Linked DNA regions of Callithrix jacchus. The protein of the gene in region 1 purifies or fractionates together with the protein of each later gene. This does not show direct contact. Links are inferred from orthologs where the notes say so. Each region holds a gene or a part of one and is shown on either strand. Other genes may lie near its edges. The genes, in order: HNRNPDL and HNRNPH1.

Region 1 (12,340 bases):
TTCACGAAAGCAATCGGGGTTGTGGTACCTTCGATATCTAACAGAATCACGGTGACTTCAGCGGGCACCGAAAGCACGACCATTTCCCTTCCGGATGCTACTACCGGACTCGGCCTACTGTTGGGGAGGGCGGAGGGCGGCGGCGCCAGCTGCGGCTGCGGCCCCCGGTACAGTCCTGGGCTTCCAATGGCCCAGTGCGATCTCGGAGCCAACGACCAAGTGCAGCCTGCCACGCGTGGGGAGAGGACACCTCTGCACACCTGGACCTGGAACTGGAACTGGAAAAGGAAGCCGCCCAGGAGCCCTGAACTCGTGAGCAGTACTGGGAAGGAGCCCGAGACCACGTGGGCAGGAAAAGGGGCGGCCCTCGCTGGGTTCGGCGGGGCTGGGAGGCTGAAAGCGCCAGCGCCGATTGGCCGCCGTCGGACCTCAAACGCGATCCGTCAAAATGGGCCTCGCGTGGGCGGGAACAAAGAAGTGAACGCGGGAGCTCGCTACGCGAGCGCGCCTTCCGCAGACTGGTTGAACGAGCTGGAGAGGCTCGGGGCACGTGCAGACGGGAGCCACGCGAGTGGCGCGCCGGGGATGTGAGTGCCCCTTGCCTTCTACTGCACCCGGCCCCCTCCCCACCCACCGCATCCTACTTTGCATAGATACAGTCATCTGGCCAGCCCCCGCCCCTCCTCCCGGCGTCCGCCCGCCAAAGAGGTCGCGCTGGGCCCGGGCTTTGGCCGATCTGCTGGGGAGGCCCGCCGCGCCCCCTTGGCCCGCTAGCCCGGGGCCACAGCGGAAGAGGCGCCCGCGCAGCGCTGCCCGGAGGGGCCGTCGCGCGCCCGCTTCCTGTTCGGCTGGTTCCAGCCAGCTCGGGAACAAAACACGCGTGCGCGCGGCGGGCGAACGCGCTCGCCGCCTCAGCCCCCAGCGCCGGGCGCAATCCGCCTTTTTCCGGAGCAGCCCGGCCGCGGTGCTAGTCGGTAGCAGCGGCCGCCGCAGCGGCTCCTCACTAGCGAACCAAGGGCAGAAAAAGGCGGGGTTGACGGCTCTTTGGTAGGAGTAGGCTGGACCGGACGCCAGAGACAAAGGCTCCCAAGGCAAGAGGGACTGTGGCCCTGCGTCGGCGCTGCTCGGGACTGCTGACCCCAGGACTTTACGCCCCTTCGTTTTTCTCTTCTGATTCCTCTCTCATCCCAAGCCTACGTCCCCTCACGCGTGGCCTCGCTCCTCGCCGGGAGGGCCGCGATGGAGGTCCCGCCTCGGCTTTCCCATGTGCCGCCGCCATTGTTCCCCTCCGCTCCCGCTACTTTAGCCTCCCGCAACCTCTCCCATTGGCGGCCGCGGGCGCCGCGACAGCTTGCCCCGCTCCTCCCTTCGCTCGCTGCCAGCTCCGCCCGGCAGGGGGCGCGCCGGGCCCAGCGCCACGTCACCGCCCAGCAGCCCTCCCGATTGGCGGGCGGGGCAGCTATAAAGGGAGGGCGCAGGCGGCGCCCGGATCTCTTCCGCCGCCATTTTAAATCCGGCTCCATACAACGCTCCGCCGCTGCTGCTGCCGCGACCCGGACTGCGCGCCAGCACCCCCCTGCCGACAGCTCCGCCGCTATGGAGGACATGAACGAGTACAGCAACATAGAGGAATTCGCAGAGGGATCCAAGATCAATGCGAGCAAGAATCAGCAGGATGACGGGTACCGCACGCTTCTTCCCCCACTCTCCCTACCCCAGCGCGCCGCACCCGCCCTTCGTCTCTCGGGATCCTCGCGCCGCCCCCATTCTTTCTCGGAGTCGATTCTCCGCGTGCCCGCTGGGCCCCACTAGCTTGGAGGGAAGAGGAAAGTAAGAGATCAAGGAGGTGACTGGAGAGGCCGGGAAGAGTGGGGGAAGGGCGGAGGGGTTGAAGGAGGAGGGCGGTGGCGTCTGTGTCCCGAGTGCGCAGGCGCCGCGTGGGACCCGGGGGGAGGGGCCGGCTTCTCTGCGCCGCACGCTGCAGCTGCGGCCGCCTCTTCATTGTGTCTCTCTTAACACTCGGCGCGGTTTTCCTGGGAAGAGTTTAGAGGACTGTGAGTTCGGGCACAAGCAGGCGACTGGTACCCAGATTCCCAGAACGTGTTATGATTGATGAGTTCTCTCGGTGGAACGTTGGCTTGACAGCTGAGGACGAGGGTGGACCTAAGATGTGAGGAATTCGTCCTGGAAGTTGGGCCTTCCACTCAAAGGAATCTGGGCAGAACCTTTACCATATCCTATTGGTCTCCTTTGAGCTTTGCTTTATACGGTGCAGAGAGCGATCTGTCCGCTGGTTTGAGTAATTCGGTTGGGATATTGGGATGTTTGTGGTCTGTTGACTTGTGTGACATAGGTTAAGTGTAAACAGATTTAAGTTGCTAACACGAGATAAATGTCCATGTTTTCACGATTTAATTAATTCCAGAACTGAAGGAGTCACTTGAGTTATTGCTAAACTTTTTTTTTTAAACTTTTATTTCTAGTAAAATGTTTATTGGAGGCTTGAGCTGGGATACAAGCAAAAAAGATCTGACTGAATATTTGTCTCGATTTGGGGAAGTTGTAGACTGCACAATTAAAACAGATCCAGTCACTGGGAGATCAAGAGGATTTGGATTTGTGCTTTTCAAAGATGCTGCTAGTGTTGATAAGGTAGGAACTGTTGTGCAATGTGCTGCTTTTGTGGTATTTTGCAAATTTTTCTGGGGGTTATATGCTGCCGTCAGATTAAATAAATCTGTCTTACAGGTTTTGGAACTGAAAGAACACAAACTGGATGGCAAATTGATAGATCCCAAAAGGGCCAAAGCTTTAAAAGGGAAAGAACCTCCCAAAAAGGTTTTTGTGGGTGGATTGAGCCCGGATACTTCTGAAGAACAAATTAAAGAATATTTTGGAGCCTTTGGAGAGGTGTGTGATTATGTTTACACATGTTAAGCTTAATGTGTTTATAAAATGTTAATTCCTGGTCTGTTTCATATAGGGCAGATTCATGTTTCATGTGAGGGTAGGATTAAATGACTGCTCACGTCGCTTCCAGACTGTACCTTGATTTGATGGCTGCTCTCATAGAAGTCCAACTATCTAATTAATTTAACCAAAACGTGGGTACTTAAATGTGGTCAGTTTTTGGACTGGTTAACTAGTGGCATCTTTGCTGTATAAAATAATCCTAAAGGATGTTTTACTTTTCTCTCAGTGCTTCACATGTACAACAAACCACTGTAGGCTGATGTTGATCATAAAGCAGTGCTGTCTGTATAGAAGTCATCTTATAAGATTAAAATCTTTAAGTTGAAGCTTGAAAAGGACCTGTGGCATTCGGACACTCTGGTAGCATTTTACAATTATGGAATGACCTTGAGTGTGCATCTCGATTTCAGATTGAAAACATTGAACTTCCCATGGATACAAAAACAAATGAGAGAAGAGGATTTTGTTTTATCACATATACCGATGAAGAGCCAGTAAAAAAATTGTTAGAAAGCAGATATCATCAGATTGGTTCTGGGAAGGTAAAGCCATTTAAGTACTTTAAATGAAAATTTTAAGGGGTGGTTTTGTGTGTGTGTGTGTGTGAGAGAGAGAATTTCTCAGTGTGTTTGAGAATAATGATTTGACTTTTTAGAACTTAAGTAAAAATTCTATTTTTATGTTTTTTAATTTGTTTATAGTGTGAAATAAAAGTTGCACAACCCAAAGAGGTATATAGGCAGCAACAGCAACAACAAAAAGGTGGAAGAGGTGCTGCAGCTGGTGGACGAGGTGGTACAAGGGGTCGTGGCCGAGGTGAGACTTAATTCTTGAAATATGACTCCATGGTTTATTTAAGCTGTATACTGCTAAATATGAGTAATCCTGTAAGAAAGTAAAACTTGCGAGGGAAAATGTTCAGCTTAGTGGGGGTTGTGTGTGGTGGTTTTTTCTTGTGAGCTCACTGGTTTCAAAAAAACTTAAAAGTATGGCCACTTTGAGAATTAGTGTCATCACTGATAGGAGACGTGTACCATTACATGTTATACACCATGGCATGATAGGTTTCCTTGGGCAGGAGTCCTTGTTTTAAACAGAACAGTGTACCTCTCTTCAGCTTTAATGAAAAATTTAATGATTTGCCATTAAATTTAGGAAGCTTGATACTGGCACAATTGGACTTTCTGCCCCCTTTTTTATAACAGCTGGAAAAATACTTTTTCAAGCAGATAGCAATAAATGTGTCCATTCTGCCCTTTAAGATTTGCAGAGTGAGGGACAAGAACGCATCATTTTATGTTAGAATTGGGGGTCAGAAGTTGTTTCCTAACAATCATTGTGCATTGTTTCAGGTCAGGGCCAAAACTGGAACCAAGGATTTAATAACTATTATGATCAAGGATATGGAAATTACAATAGTGCCTATGGTGGTGATCAAAACTATAGTGGCTATGGCGGATATGATTATACTGGGTATAACTATGGGAACTATGGATATGGACAGGGATATGCAGACTACAGTGGTAAGAACATTTAACTTAATTTTATCAACCAATGGCATTACAATTCAGTGTTAACATACAATTCCATTCTGAAATTGTGTGTATAGGCTTTCCACTAATTAAAGTGTTTGGAGTTAAGCATTTGAATCATGTTACAATCATAGAGTGATTGTACTAACATTGTGGTGGTTATAAATGTACTAGGATGTATGGCTTATGAGTAGGTTATAATGGGTACTAAAATATATTTTAATATTTTTATTTAGCATGCAAAGATTTGTAGATTTAATAGTTTCTTAATGCGTTTGTAAAGAAACGATTTTGTAGAAAACTACCTTAATGAAATTTGTCTTCTCAAAATAGGCCAACAGAGCACTTATGGCAAGGCATCTCGAGGGGGTGGCAATCACCAAAATAATTACCAGCCATACTAAAGGAGACCATTGAAAAAAACAGGTGTGTATAAGAGTACAGGAAAACAGTAGAAATGTCTAATTTAATTTAAAGATCAATAGACAAATGAAACGTAAAAACAAAATATAATGTAGCCTGTTTTTACTAAATTGTTGATTTTTTTTAATTGCTTTATAAGCCTGTTTTGCCTAAAGTGTCTATAGATCTTTAACTTTAAAGTCTTATCTCACTTTCTTTAGTACTGCAGAAAAACTTAAGAGTTTTTCTGTTTGCTTTTGTGTACCAGGTGGTCTAGAGGAATAATTAAACATTTTAGAACTATTAACAGGTAAAGTACTGAAATGGGTACAACTTAAGGAAAACAAGAATGTTGTCTTCTAACTCTGACATTATACCTTGTTTGTACCCGCCAGCGGGAACTTCATTGCAGGCCGTGTGTCACCCTGACCACGTCTATCTCTGGGGGTCGCACGTTGCGGGCAGAGCGCAAGGCATACACCAGAAAACGCTGTCCTGTGGTATGGTCTCTTCCAACTTCATGTACCAGCGTAAAGATTAAAGTGGAAAACTTCAGACTTTGGCTTCTTTTTTAATCTTTTTGGAGATTAAGTGTCTAAACTTAACTTAAATGGTTTTTTACAGGAGTTAAAGTACATAAATGCCTTTTTACAGCTTAATCATTTTGGTCTTCTGTTTAGTGTTGTATTTCAATTGTGGAGCCTCATTTTAAGTGTTCATTCTTTTAAGATTTAATGCTTGCTTTTTCTTTTTATAGCTAATAGTGAAATCTACAAACCAAAACAAGAACTTTTAAATCTGGGATATAAATTAAAGATCATATGCACAAATCAATTTATGTGCTTGTAATAAGCTTATTAGAAATTGGTGTTTATAATAGCATTTTGCTTGGGTTACTAGAGATGCTTCTAGTAGACCTTAATCTAGCATAGTTGAACATTTGAATATGGGAAGATTGTATTCCCAGATTCTTTCTTGAATATATTTGAATTTAATATCATTTGGGAACTCCAGGGTGAGTTTCTTAACTACCCAGACTGTATTTTCCTAATAAATATGCATATGATCTTTAATTATTGAAGAAAAGAATAAAGTGAGGACTTAAAACAGTTCATGAAAGTGGACCTTTAAAAGCTTGTCAGAGTTGCACACATCTAATCGTTATTTTGTTTTTGTTTTTAGGAGGAGTTGTTAAAGTAACCCATCTTGCAGGACGACATTGAAGATTGGTCTTCTGTTGATCTAAGATGATTATTTTGTAAAGACTTTCTAGTGTACAAGACACAATTGTGTCCAACTGTATATAGCTGCCAATTAGTTTTCTTTGTTTTTACTTTGTCCTTTGCTATTTGTGTTATGACTCAATGTGGATTTGTTTATACACATTTTATTTGTATGATTTCATGTTAAACTTCAAATAAATGCTTCCTTATGTGATTGCTTTTCTGTGTCTGGTACTACATAGCTCTGTAAAAATGTAATTTAAAATAAGCAATAATTAAGGCACAATTGGTTTTGTAGGGAGTATTGGTCCATAGGGAGAAACTGTGGTCCTTTATAAATAGCCAACATCATTCTCTTCCCCAATTTGTTAGATATATTCTATGATCTTAAGCCTTCATCTTCTCCCTGGTAAATGAGGTTTCTACCACACCTTTGAATAATGTTCCTTCCCCTCTGGTTATCTGAAGACTGTCCTGGGAGGAAGACCTAAGTGTTGTGATTAGGAGAAGCTTTCTAGTAGACCATGTTTCTTCTCGATTGTAATAAAACTGTTAGTGGCTCCTTTTGCTTTGTTCCTGTCTCTGGAAAGCCATTTTTGAGTTGCTAATTACTTTGGCTTTCATCAGTGGTCACTTAGAAAAAGCTTTGTAATCATGACACCATGACTATTTCTTGATAAAAATTTGCATGCACACAGGAAGGAGCACTGTAAAACTGGTAGGAGCTATGATTTAAGACCATTGAAAGTAGTGAGTAGTTACAAGTCAAGGATTTTGGCAGAAAGGTATGACTGGGCAAAAATTAGATTCAGATTTGAAATAGTGGCAAAGTAAGATTGAATTGTACTCTTCCCACAGCTACCACAAGACTGAACAAAACATTTTCTGTTTGGACATTCTGAGGAAGTTGTATTACAGTTAACTGTTAATGCTTTGTGAGTTTAGGAAAAGCCATTATAGTAAATCTAATTTTTAACTGCATGAGTAGTTAAACATTTCCATATTCAGAAATAGAAATAGTGGAAAAAGTATCTTAGGTGTGTCAGTCCAAATGTCACTGAGTAATTACAGTGGACCCTCCTGGTGCATTGAGAAGAAACATCCAGATTTCAGAGGACCTGGATAAATGCTTTGAATTTTGCATTCAGTGTGGTTTCTTGGATTTGGGGACCTTTGCCTCACTGGGATTGGCATACATGTTCACAGGCAGAGTAGTTGATCCCACACAATGGGTGATCTCAACTGGTGTTTCTTACGCTGGTGAATCCCCCTTTTTAATTTGGTGCCTACAACTTTGATACGATGATTGTATTTGCTGGGCTATCAAGTTATAATGTTCTTGGCCTTTTTTTGCTGCTGTTTTGCTATTTGTCTTCACACCTAGGCCAAGTACCAGTGTTAGCTGTTGGAAGGGATTCTGTTCATTGAACATGCAACTTTAGGGAATGGAAGGAAGTTTACTTTTAAGTTGTGTTAGTAGGTGCAGTGTCTACAGGTAGTGAATCCTGTAAGTTCAAATTTATGATTAGGTGACAAGTTGACATTGAGATTGTCCTTTTCCCTGATCAAAAAAATAAAGGCTTTTTAAACAAAATCCAAACTTTTTTTTTTAAGTCTTGATATGTATGAGTGAGAAAACATCTAGAGGTGATTGAGGTGCTTTTATAAAGAATTGGAAGCGGGGTGAGAATGCACTTGGTTTTTCTTGGAGGGACTTTGAACTCTAGGTTTAATTCAGTTTTTAGGGACAATCAGTTCACCAACTGATGAAAATTTGAAATAGAGACTATGAAGACTGTAAGTGTCCTAGGCACTTCTGATTGGATGGAACTGTGAAGCTAGTATCAAGATCTCATTCCTAAGAATTAATGTAGAATTAAGTAGTTGGACACGTTTATTGGGGAGAGGGGACAGAAATGAATTCTGTACCTATACCACTCAGTTTGTATGTTTTTATACATCGTATTTGCCTTTTGCATTGTTTAGAACAAATTCTGTGTGATGCTATCCTTGGGGAGGGTGGATAGAAATGAATTCTAAAGTACCTATAACAATTCAGTTTGAATATGATTTTATACAACATTTGCTTTTTGTATTGTTTAGACCCAAATTCTGTGTGTTTTCCTAACAAAAGGCCTTAGTGTTTCCATTGGTTGACATATTAATCTGTAATCTGAGCCACTTTTATAAGATGAGGACTATTAAAATGAGATATCTGTGGGAATGCTAGCATGGATAAGCAGAGCTTATTCCATTACTCTTCAGTGTATCTATTTTCATAATGGCAGAGATTTTTAATCTTCACAAAATTTAATACAAGGACATCTGAACAATTCAGCCACCTTCCATTACCAAGATTTGATTTAGTGTCAATCAGGATGCTATGCTGCGTGCTATAGCTCATGCCTGTAATCCCAGCACTTTCGGAGGCCAAGGCAGGTGGATCACTTGAGCTCAGCCTGGACAACATGGCAAAACCCTGTCTACAAAAAATACAAAAATTAGCGCAATGTTGTGGTGCATGCCTGTAGTCCCAGCTACTTGGGTTGAATCAGGATAATTGCTAGTGCCAGGGAGGTGAAGGGTGCAATGAGTCATGTTCATGCCACTGCACTCCACCTTGGGAAACAAAGTGAGACTCAAAAAATTACAGGACACTGAACTTCACCAATTAAAAAGTTAAGCTGGCCGAGCACAGTGGCTCATGCGTGTAATCCTAGCACTTTGGGAGGCCGAGGCAGGTGGATGGCTTGAGTCCAGGAGTTGAAGACCAACCTGGCCAATATGACAAAACCCCAACTCTGCTAAAAATACAAAAATTAGCTGGTCATGGTGGTACATTGAGGTGGGAGGATCACTGGAGTCCAGGAGACGGAGGTTGCAGTGAGCTCTGTACTCCAGCCTGGGCAAAAAAGTGAGAACTCAAAAAAAAAAAAAAAAAAAAAATGGCTTCAGCTGCAGTTGAGCTATGATCGCTCCATTGCAGAGACAGAGTGAGATCCTGTGTTATAGACGTCTGTGTATACCATTTGAATTGATTCAGTGTTGAGTAGTTAGAAAGTGTCATTCTAGAAGAAACACCACTTTCCTTAAACTTTAAGCGTAATTGGAGTTGGCATCTAATCTTTGTTTTCAACTTTTAAGCAAAAACAATGCAAATTCTATATCTTTTTAAATGGTCACTAGAAAATATTGCTTATAAAAATATAGGCTGTTCTTTTGGGATTGGTTGGGGTCTTAACATTTGCCTTGAAATAGGTTCGATGTGGAATTTCAGCAAGATTTAGTTAATAGGAAAAAATAAAAATACAACCTTTGACTTCTTTTTATAAAACAGTAGGAAAGGATATAGTGATGTTCTGGGTATTACAGAGTAATGCTGAACATTCTGAAGAGCTTAACTCCTGCTGCTCCTCTTTTTTCCCCCGCCCCTCAACAAGCATGAGCTTGGAATTGTGCTATTCTTTTTTTTTCCCCCTGAGATGGAGTTTTGCTCTTGTTGCCCAGGCTGGAGTGCAGCTGTGCAATCTCAGCTCACCAAAACCTTCACCTCCTGGGTTCAAGCAGTTCTGTCTCAGCCTCCTGAGTAGCTGGGATTACAGGAGTCTGTCACCATGCCTGGCTAATTTTTGTATTTTTAGTAGAGATAGGGTTTCGCCACATCGTCAGACTGGTCTCAAACTCCTGACCTTGGGTTTTCCACCAGCCTCAGCCTCCCAAAGTCCTGGGATTACAGGCATGAGCCGCTCCTCTCTGCCAGAATTGTGCTATTCCTAAGTGTCAGTTTAATCTCTGGTGTTACCCTTCTATCAGTACTCAAAGAAATGTACCCATTTGGGGAGCTGTATCATAATCTTGGAGGGTAGTGAAGCTAAAGGGTAGTTTGAAAAAGTATATTTGGCCAGACACGGTGGCTCATGCCTGCAATCCCAGAACTTTGGGGAGGCTGAGGTGGGTAGGCAACCTAAGGTCAAGAGTTTGAGACCAGCCTGGGCAACATGGTGAAACCCTGTCTCTACTAAAAATACAAAAATTAGTCAGGTATGGTGGCAGGCGACCATAATCCCAGCTATTTGGGAGGCTGAGGCAGGAGAATCACTTGAACCTGGGAGGCAGAGGTTGCAGTGAGCTGAGACAGTGCCACTGATCTCTCCAGCCGAGGCCACAGAGTGAGACTCTGTCTCAGAAAAAAAAAAAAAGAAAAAAGCATATTCAACATAATCTTGTCACTTAAAATCCAAATAACCAAAAAGGCTGATTTTGATTTCTCAAAGACCAGCACAAGCTAGAAAATTCGAGAAACTTTACAGGCAAGTTTTTCTCATACTGTTCCAATGGTAATCTCCTTTTGGGAATCTGACCAAAAGTGAATTCTCTTCAGACCCAAAAATTGCATGTCTGTAAATACTTTCAGTGTAGTTTCAGGAAAATTAGAAACTTAGAAAACTATCTGTTTTAAAAGGCTCTTGTAGTTGTTGGCTTTTATGGTAACAAACTGACTAAAATTGATTGAATTTGTTGTAATTGATGAGGTTTCACAATGGGAGTTTCTTCATATGTTCTCCACCTACCACCTGGGTATTTGTCTTGGCTGGTGAACACTCATAGAAGATTGTTTTATTGATGACAGGGTCTCACTTTGTCACCCAGGCTGGAGTGCAGTGGTGCCATCATGGCTTACTACAGCCTCAACCTCCTGGGCTCAACCAACCCTCCCACCTCAGCCTCCCATGGGGGCCACAGGCACACGCCTCCACACCTAGCTAATTTTTTTTTTATTTTTAGTAGAGATGAGGTCTTGCTATATTGCCCAAGCTAAAGGTTATTTATTTATTTATTTGTTTGTCTTAGAGACAGGGTCTCACTATGTTGCCTAGGCTGGTCTTGAACCCCTCGGGCACCAGTGATCTTCCTGCTTACACCACCCAAAGGACCATGCTGGGATTACCAGCATGAGTCACCTTGCCCAGTTTTAATCCCCTAATGTTAAATTGGGGAAGTCAGCTAATTGAGTGATTAATTAATTTTGTATTTTGTATTTTAGTAGAGATAGGGTTTCGCCACATCGTCAGACTGGTCTCAAATTCATTAATATGCTTGGTTTCTCAGTGTTGAGATTAATTGTAGCAAAGTAAGATTGTATTACAGTTGATCCATTCTTGTTCCTCTAAAGGAATTTGAGCCTGGATAATCTGGAGCAACTGCTCTTCCCATAAAAGACATGGCCTATGAAATTGACACATTATTTAGATGGCCCTTGAACCATGAAACATCTGGGGGGCATAAATGTTTTTCTTAGACACTGGAAGCAGAGGAATGAAAGGAGGATGTGATTAGTGCGGGTTAAGACGTATCATAGAAATTTCAATATTTCATCACCAGGAAACCCTTTAAATATCTTCTCCCCATAGACAATGCGTTTTGAATGGCTTTACTTGTCAAATATATTGCTCTCATTATATAATAATAACATTTCTATTAATCAAAGGTATAATCAACATCATACCAAGTTGATGTAGTGGCAGCCAAATCAAGAATATTTTTATTGTATACATTTTTTAAGTGATATGTAATGTCTAATGGGCTTTTAAAATATCAAAAATGCTGGCTGGGCATGGTGGCTCACGCCTGTAATTCCAGTACTTTGGGAGGCCAAGGCAGGCAGATTATTTGAGGCCAGGAGTTCAAGATCAGCCTGGCCATCATGGTGAAACCCTGTCTCTACTAAAAATACAAAAATTAGTCAGGCATGATAGTGCACACCTGTAATCCCAGCTAGTCGGGAGGCTGAGTCAAGAGAATCGCTTGAACGAAGGTTGCAGTGGGAAGCAGAGGTTGCAGTGAGCCAAGATTGTGCCACTGCACTCCATCCTGGGCGACAGAGCAAGACTCCATCTCAAAAAACACACACACACACACACAACAGAGTGAGAATAAGCAGCAACATTTCAAGAGGCTTAAAATTTTCCAGAAGTGCCGGGCGCGGTGGCTCACGCCTGTAATCCCAGCACTTTGGGAGGCCGAGGTGAATGGATCACGAGGTCAAGAAATTGAGCCCATCCTGGTCAACATGGTGAAACCCCATCTCTACTAAAAATACAAAAAATTAGCTGGGCATGGTGGTGCGGGCCTGTAATCCCAGCTACTCAGGAGACTGAGGCAGGAGAATTGCTTGAACCCAGGAGGCGGAGGTTGCGGTGAGCCGAGATT
Region 2 (12,502 bases), on another chromosome or scaffold:
TAAGAGACAATGATGTTGGGCACCGAAGGTGGAGAGGGATTCGTGGTGAAGGTCCGGGGGTTGCCCTGGTCTTGCTCGGCCGATGAAGTGCAGAGGTTTTTTTCTGGTGAGTTACCACTAGAACGCGGGAGTTCGAGTTCGAGGCCTGGGCGGGCGGGCTGGCGGGCGGGCTGGCGGGCAGCCGGGCTGGGGCGGGCCGGGCGGGACTCGGGGCGCCCCCTGGCGTGGCGCGGATGACTGCAGTTCCCGCTGTGCTGTTCGCGCCCCGCCGACCGCTGTTACGCAATGGAAATTTCGAAAGCCCCGCCGCCTTCCTGTTTCTTGGAGTGCTGCCGATCTGGTAGACTTGTTTTCTTTACCTGCCTTTGAACACCAGCTCTTCTTTTTTTTTCCGTTTTCGGCTCACTGCGATTCGGGTTGAAGCGATTCTCCTTGCCGCAGGCTCCGGAATAGGTGGGATTACAGGCGTGTGTCACTATGCCTGGCTAACTTACTGTACTCTTTTTCTTTTTTAAGACGGGGTTTCAACATGTTGGTTGGGCTGGTCTTGAATTCCCGATCTCAGGTGATCCGCCCGCCTTGGCCTCCAAAGTGCGTGGATTACAGGCGTGAACCACCACGCCCGGCCATCTTTTTGTATTTTTAGTAGAGACGGGGGTTTCACCATATTGGACAGGCCGGTCTCGAACTCCTGACCTGAAATGATCGGCTGCCTCGGCCTCCCAGAAGTGCTTGGGATTACAGGCGTGAGCCACTGCTCCCTGTCTGGGTATCTTTTGGAAAGGATAAATTGGCATAGATGGGATTTCTTCTTGAATCTTGAGAAAAATCTCCCGAGTGATTAGACAAATTGTAATGTTTTGGAATATCTTGAAGTGTAACCTCTTGTTTACAGTTTCGGTGTTTCCTTGAAAATGAGCATTCTGCTTCGGAAAGTTAAAGTGTCACGTCTTAATTTCGGTTTTCCTAATCAAGATTTGGTAATTGAGATGTGTTTGCTAGTCTAGTTCTTGATATGGCTCTCTATACAGTTGAAGACGCTGAAGCCCAGGGAAGTTTTCTTGCCTGTGTAAATTTTTTTCCAGTACACAGTTTTCCTGAGTATTTTCTATCAGAATGTTCTTGTTCGCAGCATTAGACTGGGGAAAAGAAATTAGTTTAGACTGATGAAATTCTATTTGGATGAAATTGACAGCTTTTGGTAAGACGTTTGTAGTGTTGACTTACTATCTGAATTTAGCGTTGGTAATGGAAAACGACCTGTAAAACAAGAACCAAGTACACTGGAAGCCACCTTGCAGGGGGCAACACTGGGTTTGGCTGCAGCTGTGCAGCTTGGAGCATTTTAGCTTGGTAACACTGATTCCCTTTCAGGTTAGTATTGGGCCTGCAATTTGGATTTGAATGAGAAACCGTAATGTCGCTGCTGGTAAAGTAAAACTGACAAATGCACCAGACCAAAACAACTCACAACGAAGTATGTTTGCCATAAAGTCACAAAGTACAGACTTGATAGTATTCTGAGAAATTGATAAAAGATTTGTGATGGAGACATGAGTAACAAGGACTCAAAAGAGAAATTCATTCTGTAACTGCTTTGAATATTGGATGTTGATGGGTTGGAAATAGATCCCCTTGGGAATGAGATTTCTTTTTTAATTGGCATTCTAGGAGTTGGTGATACCGTGGTCATTATAGTCTTCACAAGTTAATGTAATTTTTGGCGTGGGGGACATGGAATAGGTATTTCATCTGTGTCACCCAGAGGTGGTTTTAGGTTTTAAATTCTGTATTAACGGTTGTTTTCTTTCCAGACTGCAAAATTCAAAATGGGGCTCAAGGTATTCGTTTCATCTACACCAGAGAAGGCAGACCGAGTGGCGAGGCTTTTGTTGAACTTGAATCAGAAGATGAAGTCAAATTGGCCCTGAAAAAAGACAGAGAAACTATGGGACACAGATATGTTGAAGGTTTGATTTACGTTGCCCTAGTAACAGTAAATAAAGCGTTGCATATAGAGGTCTTACCCCTTCTGAATTTTAGGTATTTGACCGCATGGAAATGGTTATCTAAGGGAGTTTGTGGCAGCTCTTCCTAGCTTATCTAAAGACCCAGGAAGTCTGAACTTCGATATCTAATTTTCCAAAATTGACTAATTCTAAGCACCTCTTTCAGTATTCAAGTCAAACAACGTTGAAATGGATTGGGTGTTGAAGCATACTGGTCCAAATAGTCCTGACACGGCCAATGATGGCTTTGTACGTCTTAGAGGACTTCCCTTTGGATGTAGCAAGGAAGAAATTGTTCAGTTCTTCTCAGGTATGTAGTCCTGTTTGTTGCTGAGCAGTGAGTTTTGGCTAGCTTCTGGCAAGGTGATTTAATAAACCTTAAAGTTGAGTAGCTTAGGTCTTTAACTAGGTTGTAAATTTATGCCAATATTTTCTTCCTAGAGACCTTCAAATAATTTAAGCCCATCTTAAAGGTGGAAATGAAATACTTCCAAAATGTTAACTTTGCCTATATTTAGTATTATAGTTCAGAGTAGATCTTTCATTGAGGATTGCCCTCAACAGCTTAACTACTTTCCTCACATTGCTGTCCAGCTAAGTACCTCAAGTTAAAGGTAAGATCCCTTAACATCAGATTAGTATGATGAATTAGGTTGTTGTAAGTTATGGCAGGTGTCTGTGTTGCAAGAGACGCTTGGGTCATGGGACCAGAAACATCTCTTCTAATGGTCTTAATTCTCTTTAATGCAAAAGTCTATTATGAAAGACTTGGTTTAACCAGTGTGTTACAAACTTATTGAAAATCAGATGTAATGAGAGTAGGTTGAATGCTTGTAGTTTCAGTATCTGAAGTAACAAGTGTTGAAATTGTTTGTGGGCCTAAAGTATTTGAATGTTTTTATGCTGAAGAGCTGATAAGATTGCATGTTTAACAGAATGTTAGATATCTTATGTTTTAAGTATTAATATTTATGATGTGATAAACTGGAAGCAAGAAGTCCTTTCATGGTTTATTGTATATTAGAAATTTATATATGTATAAAGTCCTAATGTCAGAATTTTTAAAATCGTCTATTTTGTTTTTAATCTACATTGGTGAGAATTGAATGCTATCTGTCAACGTTAAATATGAACATAATTTCATATCTTCTAGGAAAGTGCTTTAAGTCCTTTTTGTAAGCTTGAGAATGTATCCACGGAAAGGATTTTTCATAGACGGAATTTCCAGAAGTGAATCATACTACTGTTAGAGCATAAGCAAGCATGATTGTCTGGTGTAGATCAGTTTTGTTGAAAATTTAGATTGTTATGTTTGTCAATAATGATTTAATGTTTTCAGTTTTTATATGAAATGTTTAAATGTGTACCTTTTTTAAAAGCTGAAGTTCCAATAACTTAAAGCATTGAAATATAAAATGAGGTAAAAGGTGTTTTGAATTTAGTAAAACTGTTTAATGCTTAAAACTTAATTGAATTTTTGTATAATTCTCAACATTAAGTTAGTTGTATTGATACGTGTTCTTAAGTTGAATTCTTAATGCATCCTGTGTTCAGCAAGTTGGTTTTAAAAAAATATATACTGTACCATGGGTGTGTTAAGAATAGTTATATTTTGTAATAATGGAACTTCATATTATTGAAATGCATATTTAAAGAGTACTTGTTGAAAGCATACCATTCACCTAAAGTTAAAAATTCTGGTTTATTTAAAGCTATAAGAAGAATCATTTCTGGGCTTGTGATGTTAATATTGCCCCCCTACTGGGGTTATTTGTCCTTGGGTTGAAGGGTTGGAAATCGTGCCAAATGGGATAACATTGCCGGTGGACTTCCAGGGGAGGAGTACGGGGGAGGCCTTCGTGCAGTTTGCTTCACAGGAAATAGCTGAAAAGGCTCTAAAGAAACACAAGGAAAGAATAGGGCACAGGTGGGGATGGATGGTTGGTTGGATATGTCACTTTTCTTATGGTAAATAATTAAATCCATATTCTCTCTGCTTAAAAGAAGAAATTAATGTTTTGTAGTCCTAGTTAATTGATGTTTTGCCATGATTTCTAAACTTCCTGTGTCAGAGTCCCATGTCATATGAAAACTAAATTTTAGGTTTAAAATTTGTCCCTAGTTAATTGGTCTACTTTACAATTTTGTGAGTCTTATTAACCCCAATAGAGTTGAGAGACTATGGCTTTAAAAAATTAATGCAAACCTCGCTTTAGCTGTAATAACAACCACCTAGTAAATTAATATTACCATAAGAAATTGTGATACTTTCTGATCTTGTTTTTAAAGTTGAAATGCAACAAACTTTTTCTTGCTGTATATAAATATTCTGCATAGTATTAATAAGCATAGCTTTCAAGAAATTGTCACAAAAGGTTTTATTCTCTTTGCTTGTGACTATTTTTCATTGAAGCATGCGCTTACCTATGCTGATTCTTACTAAAAGCATAGGCTGGGATATTTATTGGCGAAAGGAAATGTGTAGTGTGGGCTAGACTGTTGGTGGAGACTGGCTTTTTAGCCCACTTGCTATACATGCTGCCAATGGATTTAAGACTTGAAATGTTGAAAGTTGAGTGGAATTATTTCCCTCCTAAAACATTTATATACAGTACTCCTCTCTTACCCCTAAGGTTGGGCTCTGCCTCAGAGGAGTGAGTTTTTTTTTTCCTATAAAGTATACATTAAGTCTTACTATTTATTGAGTGGATTTCTGGTCATTGCCTATGCAAATATAAGAAATCTGGCTCTAAATATTAGTCAGTTTCATGGCTGTGACTAGATTGTTTTCTTGTATAACTAAATACCTGTATAAAATGAACTAATGTTCTCTCTCCCCTCCCTACCCCTTCCTTATGAACAATGCTTTAGGTATATTGAAATCTTTAAGAGCAGTAGAGCTGAAGTTAGAACTCACTATGACCCACCACGAAAGCTTATGGCCATGCAGCGGCCAGGTCCCTATGACAGACCTGGGGCTGGCAGAGGATATAACAGCATTGGCAGAGGAGCAGGCTTTGAAAGGATGAGGCGTGGTGCTTATGGTGGAGGTGCGTGAGGATTCTTAAGGTTTGGCAAGTCAGTTCCTTTGTGTAGGTGTTGTGTTTGATTGATGGTACATTTTTTTTTGTCTTTCAGGCTATGGAGGCTATGATGATTACAATGGCTATAATGATGGCTATGGATTTGGGTCAGATAGATTTGGAAGAGGTAAGGTAAGAATTGAATTTCTCAGTTGAAGGATGCTTACACTCTTGTCCATCTAGACCTCAATTACTGTTTTTCAGGAATGTCTGATCACAGATACGGGGATGGTGGCTCTACTTTCCAGAGCACAACAGGACACTGTGTACACATGCGTGGATTACCTTACAGAGCTACTGAGAATGACATTTACAATGTAAGTGTAAGACGGAACTCACAAGTCAGTATTTCAGTATGACAGTAAAAGTCTCAACTTTATTGTACTATAAAGGGAACACCATGTTAGAGATTTTAGTTTCATTTTGTAACGTTAGGAAGTTGATTCAGTTTTTTGAACTGCCTTGTGTTGTAGTTTTTTTCACCACTCAATCCTGTGAGAGTACACATTGAAATTGGTCCTGATGGCAGAGTAACTGGTGAAGCAGATGTCGAGTTTGCAACTCATGAAGATGCTGTGGCAGCTATGTCAAAAGACAAAGCAAATATGCGTAAGTGTGATTGAGCACTTATGGGCTCATTCTTAGGTGATTGTGTGACTAACATTTACAATAGAGGAATAGAAAAATAATATATGAGAAGTTTCCTTTCCAGTAATAGATTGATTCTTGGGGAACAGGGTGGGGTGTGTTAAAGGTTTGGTTTTTAAAAATTAGTTTAACAGATTTGTGATACACATCTTACATCTTGAAGTATATATCCTTTATTGACAATATAGATGAATATGTAAAGGCTAGATTTTGAAGTTATAAAGATCACCTAAGAGAAGTAACAAGTCTTTGCCCAAGTATTTGAAGTTCATAGATCTACGTGTTTAAAAAGTGCTTATCCTGTTTTCTTTCACCAACAAACATTTTCAAACTTTTTTTTTCTCATTTCAGAACACAGATATGTAGAACTCTTCTTGAATTCTACAGCAGGAGCAAGCGGTGGTGCTTACGGTAGCCAAATGCTAGGAGGCATGGGTTTGTGTAAATATCACTTTAGTGTCCTTTTTTTAAGCTAACCTTGTATGCCTTTTCTCTCATTTCAGAACACAGATATGTAGAACTCTTCTTGAATTCTACAGCAGGAGCAAGCGGTGGTGCTTATGGTAGCCAAATGATGGGAGGCATGGGCTTGTGTAAATATCGTTAGTTTTTTTAAAAACCAAAACGTTTATATCTGTATAAGTCAATTATAAGTTAAGTTAATCTATTTAATGAGTTTAGTATAACAAACTTAGGCAAAGAAAGCAGTTTCTTGATATTTGAATGAATTTTGTATCTGGCTTAAACCTTGTGTACTATGAAGTTGCTTAGGATAGATAATTCAAATTAGATATAAGTACTCTTGGGGGAGGGACCTATGGAGTGAAATTACTGAAATTTTCTGAGTATAAAGTCTAATTAAGATAAATTAGGTGTTAACTGATAAACCTTTATATTGAACATACCTTGATATATCAAACTAAGGGGAAACCCCACTAAATCCAGTCAAGCAATTTCATAAGATCTTCACAAAATGCCTCTAACTAATGGAATCGTGAATTTTAGTCCTGCCGATGTGTATACCGTTAGCACTTTGGTTTATAAATACTTGATTAGCTCAAATGATGGATAGAAGGGCAGCCTGGTTATAGACAATAGGCAGAAGGAGGCAGAGGGTTATAGTAATAGAAGATCAAGACTGGAAAATCATAGATAGAGAATTACAAGCCCGGTACCACCAGGTACCACATTACATAAGGAGCAAGGATCTAATGTTTTCTTAACTTAACAGCAAACCAGTCCAGTTATGGTGGCCCAGCCAGCCAGCAGCTGAGTGGTGGTTATGGAGGCGGCTATGGTGGCCAGAGCAGCATGAGTGGATACGGTAAGCATTTTTTTAAATATACTTAGAATAAGTTTTAGGCAGGTTTTTTTTAGTTGGGAATACATGCAGGCTCCATTTTGGTGAAATTGGGTTGTTTAATGTATGCTTCATATGTAAACTTTTTTTAGTTTAATTTCCAGAAACAATCATTGGGAGGGGGACGTGTTTTGTGAATTAAAAACTAGTTATTGCAGCTTTGGAATACTGTCGAGCCAGAAAATATCTGCCTCCATTTATTAAAACATTAAAGTTGTTCACTTTTTTGTCTTTTGGTTAGCTTTAAATCAATTTTAGATGGAGGGAGAATTTTAAATAGAATGGTGGTTGGGTTCAGGATCGTATTTATTAGTCAGTTGTTAACCTAGGATTGGTTTTATTTTTTTCAATTGGTCTAAATGGTGATTTTGGTATTATAGTCTTACCCTACAAAATCCTTTTGCAGACCAAGTTTTACAGGAAAACTCCAGTGATTTTCAATCAAACATTGCATAGGTAAATATTTTCTCAAAAAATATAATTTAAATTCCCAATAGCAAATACTGATATGTTGTAATAACACTTTTTATAGCAGTCAATGGCTCTGACTTAACCGAGGCTGCCATTTGGGCACAGTGAGTTGCCTTTAGTCCAACTTAGTTGTCTCACTTTTGCCCACCATGAATAGGAAAAGCGAGAGATTTCCCCTGTGCTCCCTATTCTCATGTCATTTGAGGGACACATTGTGAATGTTTATGGTAAATTTTTTTTTAAATGCCTTGTTTAGCTTTAAAAATATGAAGTAATTTTGCAATTTTTGAAAAACACTAGTTTTCCTTTAAACTTAATTTTTCACGTTGATCCTGAATTTCGTTAACATGGTAGCACAAGAGTCTGGCAAGTTGGTACTGCAGAGAAAAGGGGTTAATTGAGACTTGTTTGGAGTGGGATTCCCCTTTCCCAAACATGCTTCTCGCCACTTGGACAGCAGCCATTTATACTCGTATATTTTTAAACTTTTTTTTGTAATACTATATTTTATTTGACTGATAGTCTGACATTACTTCTAACTTGTCAAATTGGTCTCTTTGCAGGTAGCCAAGGAGCAATGAACAGCAGCTACTACAGTAGTGGAAGCCGTGCATCTTTGGGCGTGAATGGAATGGGAGGGATGTCTAGCATGTCCAGTATGAGTGGTGGATGGGGAATGTAATTGATTGATCCTGATCACTGACTCTTGGTCAACTTTTTTTTTTAAAGAAAAAACAAAACTTCAGTTTAACAGTTTCTGTAATACAAGCTTGTGATTTATGCTTTCTCTTTAAGTGGAAATCAGGATTCTTATGAAGACTTGGGGCTCAGTATTTTTGAATACAATACTTATCTAGGATATGAGTGAAGCTGAGTAAACTATAACTGTTAAACAAGTTCCAACTTTTCTCAAGTTAGTTATATTGTAGGATATACTTAAGCAGTAAGCGTATTTAGGTAAAAGCAGTTGAATTATATTAAGTGTTACCCTTTGCATTGAACACTGTTCAGATGCATGTTGAAAGACATGCTTTTTTTTTTTTAAACTCAATATAGGAGCTGTGTCTACAATTAAAAGTGAAACATTTTGGCATGTTTGTTAATTCTAGTTTCATTTAATAACCTGTAAGGCACGTAAGTTTAAGCTTTTTTTAAGTTAATGGGAAAAATTTGAGACGCAATACCAGTCCTTCAGGATTTTGGTCTTGGTGTTTGTATGAAATTCTGAGGCCTTGATTTAAATCTTTCATTGTATTGTGATTTCCTTTTAGGTATATTGCGCTAAGTGAAACTTGTCAAATAAATCCTCCTTTTAAAAACTGCACTGTCTGCTTCAGTGTCATGTGGAGTGAGTCTTGGTCCTCTGTGCCCACCTGGGGCCAAGGGCCACATCTCTGGCTGTGGCAGAGAGGCTTGGTAGCTGAGGCTGTTCTTCCCTCCAGTGCAACTGAAGGTAAACTCAGCTTTGGGGCCCTTGTGGAGGGGCTGTATGTCATTTGGCTGCACAGGACCTGATCTGAACTGCCTATAACGTTTTAAGCACTTGCACGAAGCAAAGCGGGAGGCACCAGTGCCCTCACTGCATGGCCTGCATGTCTAGGAGGACTTTGTGCATGGCTGGGAAGTTGCCAGAGGCAAGGGAGGTGTGATGAATATGCGGGTGCCTTCTAGAAGGAGCTAGCTCACGGAAGATTTATTTGTGGTGGAGTGTCAATGTCAGCTGAGGCTGCATTGCAGTGGCATAGTCTCAGCTCACTGCAACCACCACCTCCTGGGCTCAAGCAGTTCTACTGTTTCAGCCTCTCTAGCTGGGGTTACAGGCGTGTGCCCACCACCTCATTTTTGTATTAATTGAGGCACGGGGTTTCGCCATGTTGACCGGGCTGGTCTCCCAACTCCTGACCTTGGGGGGGCCTCCCAAAATGCTGGGATTACAGGCATGAGCCACCATGTCCAGCCTTCACAGATGGTTTTCAAATTGAGGTTTTGAACTTTATGTTTTGGGCTAATTTCTAAAAATCAGTTCCAATTGGGGTCAAAATTCCATGTAAACCTCTTCAGGTAGAATGATAGGTAGTGATTGAGAGCAAACATGACTGGTTTAAATGAACTCTTCAAATGTATCCCCTTTATGGTAGTTTGGAGCGCCAACATGCTAGCAAGTATTCAAGTTGCTTTAAAGCAACTTGGAAAGTGTGATTGCAGAGTTCCTTCAGTAGATGCTTAGGGGCACTGCAGTTTAGGAACTGCCACTATTTCATCCCTTTAGATTCAAAGTCCCTGATAATGGATTCAGAATGTAGAGTCCAAGCTAGGCTGTCACATAACATAGGCTTGTGCCCTTTAAAGCAAAGTGTGGATAAGCTTTCTCTTCCTGTGGTTTACACAGAAGCTGTTCTTGAGTTTTTGGGGTAGGGCTAGGTAGGGTGGACAGAGTGGGGCTTAGTGTTGGTTGTTTCTAACCATCTGCCCACAGAAGCAGTGCATACAGGAGACATGGGCAGCAGGAGGGGCTTGCAGATCCTACCTTGGCTGCGTGCCTTACCAGGACTGGAAACCAGCGGAGGGAAAGGTCTGGAATGTATTCTTTGTTTTGTCTTAGGCATGTCTAGAGAGAGCAGCAGTTCTCAGTGGGCAGGCAGTGTTGAGAGTTGAGCTGTGTTATAAGCCTGGTGCTGCGCCTGAAATCTTGTTGGGTTAATGTAGTTTGGTATTGAGGCCCAGTGTTGAGAAAGCTTGAAGGTTCCTTCTCTGGGTCCTTTAGTTAACTGGTACATTTAGGGATAAAACTTGCCCTGTTAGAGAAGGGACTAATAAGAAGGAACTTGGAGTAGTAGTAAGCTAAATCCAGAGCCCTATGGCTTTTAAGAAACGAGTCTAGGCCAGGTGCAGTGGCTGACACCTGTAATCTCAACACTTTGGGAGGCTGAGGTGGGTGGATCACCTGAGGTCAGGAGCTCAAGACCAGTCTGTCCAACACAGTGAAAACCCATCTCTACTAAAAGTACAAAAATCAGCCTGGCGTGTTGGCGCACACTTGTAATCTCAGCTACTGGGACACTGAGGCAGGAGAATTGCTTGAACCTGGGAGGTGGAGGTTGCAGTGAGCTGAGATCTTGCCATTGCACTCTAGTCTAGGTGATGAGGGAAACTGTCCAATGCCTGTAATACCAATTCCAGCATTTTCGGAGTCTGAGGTCGGGAGTTTGAGACCAGCCTGACAAACATGGAGAAACCCAATCTCTACTAAAAATACAAAACAAGCTGGGTGTGGTAGCACGTGCCTGTAATCCCAGCTACTCCAGAGGCTGAGGCAGAAGAATCGCTTGAACCCAGGAGGCGGAGTTTGGAGTGACCTGAGATTGTGCCATTGCACTCCAGCCTGGGTGGGCACCAAGAGTGAAACTTCATCTCAGAAAGGAGTCTAGAAGCATTATGGTTCTTTGGAATCTTGTGCTCCATAGCTTGTCTGCAGTGACTCAACCTCCTGACCCTGTCAGCTGGAATCTGCATTTTATTTTTTTTTTTGAGATAAAGTTTTGCTTGTTGCCCAGGCTGGAGTGCATGGTGCAATCTTGGCTCACTGCAGCTTCTGCCTCCTGGGTTCAAGTAATTGTCCTGCCTCAGCCTCCTGAGTAGCTGGGATTACAAGTGCCTGCTGCCAGGCCCAGCTAATTTTTTTTGTATTTTTAGTAGAGACGGTTTCATCATTGCCCAGGCTTGTTGCAAACTCCTGACTTCAGGTGATCCACCTGCCTTGGCCTCCCAAAGTGTTGAGATCACAGGCGTGAGCCACTGTGGCTGGCTAGAATCTGCATTTTAAACAACAAAACCCTGACCACTCACCCCTATTTCAGTTGACATGGGAAGCACAGAATATCTATCCCTCATTTCTCAGGCTGGGTAAAGGTTACCATCTTTACTAAACTTTGGAACCACCAATCCCTGGTCTGGTAAAGGTACTGCAGAGAAAAGGCATTAATTGAGACTTGTTTGGAGTCGGGATTCCCCTTTCCCAAACATGCTTCTTGTTTAGAGTCAGAATTCCCTCTTTCCTAAACCTGGGTGGTGGAGATTGCTTCTCGCCATCTGGACAGCAGCCATTTGTACTTGTATACAGCCACCAGGTTGGCTAAGGAGGTGTGAACAGGCCCAGGTCGGAAATGGAACAGGTCAAAACTCCCGTGCTGATCAGTAGTGGGATTGTGCCTGTGAAAAGCCACTGCACTCAAGCCTGGGCAACATAGTGAGACCCCATCTCTTTAAAGGAAAAGAAAGGCTGGGAACCTGAGGTCTGGATTTGGTGAGGGTAGGGAGCCTGTGGGAAGTGAAGGTAGGGTGGTCAGCAAGATATATGTATAGAAGGTGGATAAGGATGAGGCCTGGAAGACTTGGTTGTTTGTACTTGACAATGCAGTTATCTGTACCCTAAGAGCCCTAGGCCATTGGCTCCTGTCTGGGGCTCTGAGGGAGGGACTAGAAGCCAGTTCTAGCACTGTGTTAATGGCTCACACCTGTAATCAGCACTTTGGGAGGCTAAGGTGGGTGGATCACAAGGTCAGGAGTTCCAGACCAGCTTGGCCAACACAGTGAAACCCCATCTCTACTAAAAGTACAAAAAAGTAGCTGGGCATGGTGGTGGGCACCTGTAATCCCAGCTAGCTACTTGGAGGCTGAGGCGGGAGAATCACTTGAACCTAGAAGGCTGAGGCTGAAATCACTCCATTGCACTCCAGCCTGGGTGACGGAGCGAGACTGTCTCAAAAAGAGTGGCCTGGCAAATGCTTTTCCACAGGTGTCTCTGTCACCAATCACACTCCCAATTACATAGGTGAACTACTCTTGGACTTTGTCAACAGACTTAGGGGTCACTTCTTCTGCCAGTTGATGGCAGGCTGACTGCAAATTACCTTTGGCTCACCAGGCCCAGC

What was found.
Region 2: the proteins of HNRNPDL (region 1) and HNRNPH1 fractionate together in Homo sapiens (co-fractionation; 3 studies listed by BioGRID and IntAct, with this or other methods). This does not show direct contact. The link is inferred for Callithrix jacchus from reciprocal best matches to the Homo sapiens genes HNRNPDL and HNRNPH1.

The regions. Positions count from the first base shown.
Region 1 is NC_133504.1:115,400,967-115,413,306, forward strand, and holds HNRNPDL (heterogeneous nuclear ribonucleoprotein D-like), read left to right. Parts: upstream 1-506; 5' UTR 507-1,239; coding exon 1,240-1,682; intron 1,683-2,483; coding exon 2,484-2,652; intron 2,653-2,748; coding exon 2,749-2,910; intron 2,911-3,383; coding exon 3,384-3,515; intron 3,516-3,674; coding exon 3,675-3,789; intron 3,790-4,325; coding exon 4,326-4,496; intron 4,497-4,838; coding exon 4,839-4,909; 3' UTR 4,910-4,931; exon of another isoform or gene 4,932-5,302; 3' UTR 5,303-6,344; downstream 6,345-12,340. Other genes in the region: ENOPH1 (enolase-phosphatase E1), read right to left, coding at 1-83. UniProt on the Homo sapiens protein: Acts as a transcriptional regulator. Promotes transcription repression. Promotes transcription activation in differentiated myotubes. Binds to double- and single-stranded DNA sequences. Binds to the transcription suppressor CATR sequence of the COX5B promoter.
Region 2 is NC_133503.1:72,030,502-72,043,003, forward strand, and holds the end of HNRNPH1 (heterogeneous nuclear ribonucleoprotein H), read left to right. Parts: 5' UTR 1-9; coding exon 10-106; intron 107-1,814; coding exon 1,815-1,970; intron 1,971-2,175; coding exon 2,176-2,319; intron 2,320-3,797; coding exon 3,798-3,936; intron 3,937-4,880; coding exon 4,881-5,059; intron 5,060-5,147; coding exon 5,148-5,219; intron 5,220-5,275; coding exon 5,276-5,409; intron 5,410-5,565; coding exon 5,566-5,701; intron 5,702-6,091; coding exon 6,092-6,151; coding exon of another isoform or gene 6,152-6,181; intron 6,182-6,243; coding exon 6,244-6,333; intron 6,334-6,971; coding exon 6,972-7,064; intron 7,065-7,506; coding exon of another isoform or gene 7,507-7,556; intron 7,557-8,134; coding exon 8,135-8,253; 3' UTR 8,254-8,893; downstream 8,894-12,502. UniProt on the Homo sapiens protein: This protein is a component of the heterogeneous nuclear ribonucleoprotein (hnRNP) complexes which provide the substrate for the processing events that pre-mRNAs undergo before becoming functional, translatable mRNAs in the cytoplasm.